Drosophila melanogaster: one gene and its partner. The protein of the gene in region 1 purifies or fractionates together with the protein of each later gene. This does not show direct contact. Each region holds a gene or a part of one and is shown on either strand. Other genes may lie near its edges.

What was found.
Region 2: the proteins of Pfdn1 (region 1) and mgr purify together in Drosophila melanogaster (affinity purification with mass spectrometry, with the first as the bait; one large-scale study listed by BioGRID). This does not show direct contact.

The regions. Positions count from the first base shown.
Region 1 is NT_033779.5:6,067,112-6,070,358, reverse strand, and holds Pfdn1 (prefoldin 1), read right to left. Parts: upstream 1,281-3,247; 5' UTR 1,139-1,280; coding exon 1,109-1,138; intron 1,013-1,108; coding exon 870-1,012; intron 801-869; coding exon 593-800; 3' UTR 552-592; downstream 1-551. Other genes in the region: CG9154 (uncharacterized protein), read left to right, coding at 1-126, 181-551; CG9150 (uncharacterized protein), read left to right, coding at 1,780-2,493, 2,551-2,592; CG9147 (uncharacterized protein), read right to left, coding at 2,797-3,070, 3,124-3,247.
Region 2 is NT_033777.3:11,408,222-11,411,861, forward strand, and holds mgr (merry-go-round), read right to left. Parts: upstream 1,655-3,640; 5' UTR 1,548-1,654; coding exon 1,461-1,547; intron 1,384-1,460; coding exon 989-1,383; intron 928-988; coding exon 825-927; 3' UTR 571-824; downstream 1-570. Other genes in the region: mRpL40 (mitochondrial ribosomal protein L40), read left to right, coding at 1-105, 165-483; Irbp (inverted repeat-binding protein), read left to right, coding at 1,917-2,589, 2,835-3,640. UniProt on the Drosophila melanogaster protein: Binds specifically to cytosolic chaperonin (c-CPN) and transfers target proteins to it. Binds to nascent polypeptide chain and promotes folding in an environment in which there are many competing pathways for nonnative proteins.

The DNA of each region.
Region 1 (3,247 bases):
AGCACGCATTGCGTGATGTTGTGCGTAAGCTTCTGGCGGAGCGCACGGAGGATTCGGGTGACTTTAGTATAGCACTGCTCTCCTGCCCATCGCTCTACAAGGACATCAGGGAGATACATGACACAGGTAAGTGGACATGTGAAACGATTATGAATGAATTGTCATCATTCTATCTTGTAGTGCACATATTCGAGTTCGACAAGCGTTTCGAGGCCTATGGCACAGATTTTGTGCACTACGACTTGAACTGCGTAGGGAGCAACCCGGACTACCTCAAAGAGCACCACCAGCAATATGACCTCATCGTGGCCGACCCGCCCTTCCTGTCCCAGGAGTGCATCGCCAAAACGTGTGAAATAATCACTAGGCTGCAACGAAACCAGAAGGAGAGCAAGGTAATCCTGTGCTCCGGTGAGGTGGTGGAGCCCTGGCTAACCGCTCGCCTGCCCGTCCTCAAGTGCAGCTTCCGCCCGGAACACGAACGCAATCTGGGCAACAAGTTTGTCAGCTACGCCAACTTCAATTTAGACGAGTATATTGAAAATAAATAAGCAATTGCGTTGAGGGATAAATGCCAGTTTGGAGTTGTAGTCTATTTCGCAGTCTGATCGGCTTCCTTGCGCTGCTGCACCAACTCGCGCAGACCGTCTTCCTGGCTCTTAAGGGACTTCTGCAAGAACTCCTTCTTCTTCTCCAGCAGTTCTATCGCTTTGTCGCATTTCTCCTGCCTAGCCTTCAGGTCCTCGCGCATATTCTGTACATCGGTAAGCAGGAACATGCGACCCACGGACTGGTAAACTCTATAGGGAAACAGTTCAATTAGCCACCTGAACACCTGGAGATGATTAATTGTGATTCTAGTTATGTACCTTGTGTCGTCGGCCAAGCTGCTGGTGCCCTTTTCTGTCAGCTGGTACTTTTGTTTGCCTGTCTTGACCATGTCGCACTTCATGTCGATCATGTGGATCTTCTTGGTCGTCTCCAGCTTATTGATCTGCATCTCGGTGAAGGCCTGCGTGCAAAAGGAATCGTCTATGACTAAGTTCTTTGGAAGAGCACGCGCTCTCCGTCGGCAGTCGGCCTTTTTGGCAACTTGCCTTCCGCTCACCTTCTTCAATTCGATGTCCATTTGTGCCATTTTGTGTGATAGCTTTTCCTTCACAGATGATTGAATGCAAATTGCTTGGCTTTGCTGCGAATTCACTGAAAATTGCAACACCTGCGGTAAGCTTATGGTTTTTTTTTTCTACTTTATTAGTGATGGCAGTTATATCTGACTCCTGCTGGCCTGAAAATATCGATGAGTACGCCCTGCACTATCGATAACCAATTTGCCGGCAAGTGTAAATTCAAACCGATTTCAAGACTTTGAATAAATATGCAAATTGAATTTTTCTTTAAAATGTGGTCACTGGTCACTACCAAGTACAAATATTAATTTTTATGTTATCGCTTATAAAATTTTTATTCAAATTTAAAAAGTACACAATCTTAAAAAAATATATACATTTGAGCTATTTTATTTTATATTTAAAGTCTCGCAGTTCCTTAATACATTTTCTTTAGGTCAATTTAAGAATAAAAGGATAGCCTAACCTTAAGTGCGTATAATCCTGACCCAAATTGTTGAATCTTCTTTTAATATATATATCTACAACCTGACAACAACATTTGACCGTTGGAGATTAACCTCAATTGCGAACCAAGAAGCCATGAAACTGCTCCCGAGTTTCCGATGCGGGCTTCTTACTTGCATCAGCTCCTCATTCACAAGACGGCATGGAGCGGTGGCAGAACAAACTGGCTGTGGTAACAGGAGCCAGCGGAGGCATAGGCGCCGCTTGTGCTCGGGCCATGATCGGCGCTGGACTACGGGTGGTGGGCCTGGCACGTCGGGAGGCCAAGTTGAAAGAGCTCAGGGAGAGTCTGCCCCGGGAGCTGCAGGCGAACTTCATACCGCGGCGCTGCGACGTCTCCAAGGAAGATCAGGTGCAGAGCTCTTTTGACTGGATCGAACGGGAGCTGGAGGGCGCCGACGTGCTGCTGAACAATGCTGGCATTACTCGCGAGACGGAACTGGTCACCCCGAGCAATACGCAGAAGCTTAAGGAGGTCATAGACACCAACGTAATGGGCGTGATTTGGTGTACCCGCGAGGCGTTCAATAACATGAAACGGCGAGGTGGCGAAGGTCACGTTCTCATCATCAACAGCATAGCCGGACATCAGGTGCTCAACTTCATCGACGTTTTGCCATCGTTCAATATATATCCGGCCACCAAGTTTGCCATCACCGCCATCACAGAGACATATCGGCAGGAATTTCAGCTGCACTCGAACAAAATCCGGGTTACTGGCATCTGTCCTGGTGCGGTGAACACGAACATCTTCCCGGAAGAGATCCATTTTTACGTCAAAGACATGGCCAGACTCGAACCAGCGAACATTGCGGACGCAGTGATGTATGCTCTGCGAACTCCGCCTCATGTTCAGGTGAGCATAATCACTATTATGTATTAACTTATGACCAATTTAACTAACCACCTTCAGGTACATGAAATCACTATCAAACCCATGGGCGAAATGTTTTAAACTTCTTCCGGTTATAATAGCCATGCAGAGCAAAATATAAATTTCAAGGATTATAGTATGAAAAACACACTGTACTTAATAAAAACTCTGCGCAATATGCATGCCCCATATTAATCATAAACAAGTAGAGTAGAGCTTGAGTTATGAATTTTCTTGAACTGAATTGAATTTTGTTTGTTTACGATTTTTCCAACGATTATCGGACTAGTTTAGCGCCTCCAGCCGCTCTCTTAGTGCTTCCTCGTTTAGCCGGTGCATGCATAGGAACTGGCCGTTGAAGAACAGAACGGGAATGTCGTGCCTGAAGAGGCGGAGGAACCTAACGTTTTCCTTTCGGTCGATGTAAACCTTCTCCAGACGGTATTGACCTGCAAAGCCCTGTTCCAACTGCTCTACAAGGTCGTCGCACAGTGGACAGGGCTCCCTGGTATACAAAGTGAGCAACGGAAGGCCCTCCACCTGATCAATGCTTGGCACCCTGCAAGATGATTTGTGTTAGTAGAAGCAGGCATAACCGAGATCAAAACTCACAGCTTCTCAAGTACCATGGCCATGGAACGGCCATCCGTCGTGCCCATAAAAGCGCAACCCAGTCCGCCTGCAGGAAGGGAATGGACTAGATGCGTTAGCAGGTGGCTGGCTGTGATTTGTTTGA
Region 2 (3,640 bases), on another chromosome or scaffold:
GAAGAAGAAGATCGAAAAGCAGATTCGCCGGCTGGAGAAGAATGCCCGTCAGCTGAAGCCCGTGGATGAACTGGAGGTTCCACTGGAGCTCATCGACGAAAAGGAGTAGGTTCTCATACGGGTTTCCCTCATATGCTGAGATGTAATGCTATCCTATCGTTCAGCAAACGGCAGCGGAAGCTAGCTCCACTGACCATCGACCAGTTGGAGGAACGTGCTCTCCTCAAGAAGCAGTGGGCGCACTACAAGCACGACGAGCGCGTAGCAGACTTTCAGATCATCGACCGGCTGGTCCAGGCGCAAAACAAGGCGCTGGCGGAACTTCGGCGCGAGTCCGAGGAGCTCTACCAGGCGGCCATCGATATCGATCCCCAGCTGCTGCCCGTCGCCGTCAAAGGACCCGTTGCCACGCCCCCCATTAAGGATTACGTCAGTCCCGATGGCGACTACCTGCACCAATCCATGAAGTGGGAGGTCAAATGAGGCGTGTAAGTTCCGGATGTTAAAGATTTGAAATAAACTGAACCCTAATCCTATGATTTGTGAATTCGGCTTTACTCTCAATGAATTGCGTTCGCCGTTTATTCGGTTTACATGCAGTTAAATGCCCGTAGCCAAATTAAAATATTACATTCCTCCGGAATAGGCATCTCGTTTGGAGTCAGCTTGATGCGTTTGTGTGGCGGTTTTATTGCTATCAGTGGAGAACAAGAATAAGCCAGGTGGAATCGCCTGCCGAGCCCTTGCGGTGTACTGTCGAAATAAATAAGATGCGAGTGGCTGCTACCGATGTTGATCTTGGGATGGGATTTGGGTGGGTCTCCTTAGGATGGGGTAGTGGCGGTGGTCTTGGTAGCGGCCTGCCGCTTTTTCACGCCCCAGTTGTAGACCCGCGCCATGTTCACCTCCGTAGTTGTGATTTGATCCCTAAAATATACATTTATAATACAATAAAACAAGTAACTTGAATAACAGCACTCGAACTGACCTCAGAAAATCCTGATCGTGCTCCACGGACTTTAGGTTGCCCACGGCCGATGTGATGTTCTGGTTCAGCAGAGCCTCCGCCTCGTCTAGCGGATACTCCAGCATCACGCTGGCCCCCAGCCAGAGGTATACTGTTTTCGTGGGCGGCACCAGTGTCTTGATGAACACCTGGTCGCTGAGCAGGAATTGCGTCTCGCGCTCCTCGTCCTCCTTGCGAAGCACATTGACCATTTCCAGGGAGCGCTCCAGGTCCGGAATTTGAGACTTCAACTTGCGCCGCCGCGCCTCCAGATTGCAGGCCATGAATCGATACTTGCCGTGCTGCTCGTCCAGTCGCTGCAGCACCTTTTCGCAATTTTCGTTCTCCGGCTGCGACATGAAGGTGTCGATCTCCTCCTGCAAGGGCCCAAGAACCACGAATTAGCCTGCAGTGTCCAGCTGCAGGTGCACGCTTGTAGGTTAGGACCACTCACCAGGAACACTGCCTCCGGGATGCCGGCGAAGGTCTTCTGGTTTTCCGGTAATTTGGGCATTTCCACCGAGTCCATTATTCCTGTCATCCTGTTGCCTTCAGCCGTGCCGTCTACAAATGCAATTTAATTTTCAGGAGGTCAGCCTGCCGCTGTAAAAGTCGATGAGTCAAAATTGCGATGGAACAATCGATTGAATGGCTGTCATCGAAAGGTGGTGGTCAACTTCGTATAAAAATGTAAAACTAACTTATATTAAAATAATTATATAAATAAACGTTGGGATAATATAATATGTTAAAAACATTAAATAATGTCTAAATAAATTTAAATATATATCAATTCTCTTCGTGACTCTCATCCCTAGCTCAATCGATAACAACAGCGACGATAAGCGCGCCCGCCTTCTTGTGAAATTAGCGGAAAGTCAGATTTTTAGCAATCTAAAGAAGCCGCATAATGAGCACCTGGAATCCGGAGAACGATGTGGACCTGCTGTCTGGGTCCGAGGACGAGGAGGATGTGTCCATGAAGCGGGACTACCATGGGCGCGAGGCCATTCTGTTCGTGGTAGACGCCAATCTTCAGACAGCCGGCGTGGAGCGCCTGTTGGAGGCACTGAACATCATCCGGACGGCCTTTATATCCGGACTTCTGGTTAACGACAAGGACCTCATCGGACTCATCTTCGCCAACACCAAGCACAGTCCGCCGCCGCTGGAAGCCAGTGCATTGGACAACATCGTAATGCCGGATAACTGCGCAGTGTTCTTGCCCCTTCGCCAACTAACCAAACCCATTGTGGAGCACTATCTGGAATTCATGGGCGGGGTGGAGACGCAGTTCGCCGATGTGTATGGCCTGGCGGAACCCGATGGTCGCGGCAGGTTTGACCTTATGATCCGGCTCTGCATCGAGATGCTGGAAAAGTGCGGCAAGAAGCTAAACAACGCCAAGATCGCCTATGTCACGGACGTCAGGGAACCTCATCCATCGAACAGCAATCACTTCCAGGCTGCCCTGCAAAAGGCCAGCGATCTGGAGGGCAAGGAGTTCGAGTTTCATGTCATTCCCATGGTCGATGACTTTGACTACGAGCCGTTTTACAAGGAGTTCATCACGTTGTCAAGAGGTAAGTCCTTTAAGTCTGCTATTCATTTCTTATGGGTTTTAATGTGCGAAGTCTGTTCCCCTGTTTGGCGTTCAATTTTCGCCTGAAAGGTTTTAAGACTTCGTAGATCAAATATAAGCAATCATTCACCCGCATCCAAGTGAAGCTCAATTGGTTCGTGGTTTTGGATTGGCTTACAAGAATAATAAAATAAATATATAGCAATCCGTACACTAGATGATGTTTAATGAGGACCTTTTTTGCAGCTATCGAACTGGACGCCTTCCAGGTGCCAGATGCCCAGATGCTGCGCGAAATCCTGTCCGATCGTAAGTTGAAGCAGGATTTCCTTCGCCGATGCCTGGGCCACTTCAGTTTTTATCTGGGCCCCAACCTATCCATGTCCGTACAGTACTACAATTACTTTCAGCGACGCGCCTATCCGCGCAAAGTGCAAATCCTGCGCAGGGACAACAGTGTGGTGCGTACTAAGCGAGTGATTACGGTGCAAAAACAAAAGGACGATGGCTCGCAGGATATCGAGCACGAGTATCAGATTAAGGTGACGGGCGGTTGGTACACTTGCAACGTGGGCGAAAGGGATCTGCGCATCAGCATGGATCAGTTGAACAGGGTGCGCAATCTGCACAAGCCGCAAATGATGCTGCTGGGCTTCAAGCATCGATCCTCTCTTCCCGAAGTTAGCTACATCAAGCCAGCGAATTTCATGTACCCCGATGATCAGAGCATCATCGGATCGAAGCGCTTGTTCCGCGCATTGTGGGAACGATGCTTGGTGCGCGACAAGATTGCCATTTGCCTGTTCATGTGCAAGCGCAAGTCGATACCTCGCTATGTGGCACTTGTGCCAGTAGAGGCCCCAGATAATGGGGAAGATAAGAACTATCGCTCTCTGCTCTGCGGTGACGGATTCAAGATTGTCTACTTGCCGGAGGCCAAGCACATCCGCCACCTAGACTTGCAGGACTGGAACAATACGGAAAACACTGCTGACGAACAGAAAGTCGAGTTTTTCCAAAAGATCATCAAGAAGCTGCGCGTTGACTATCAG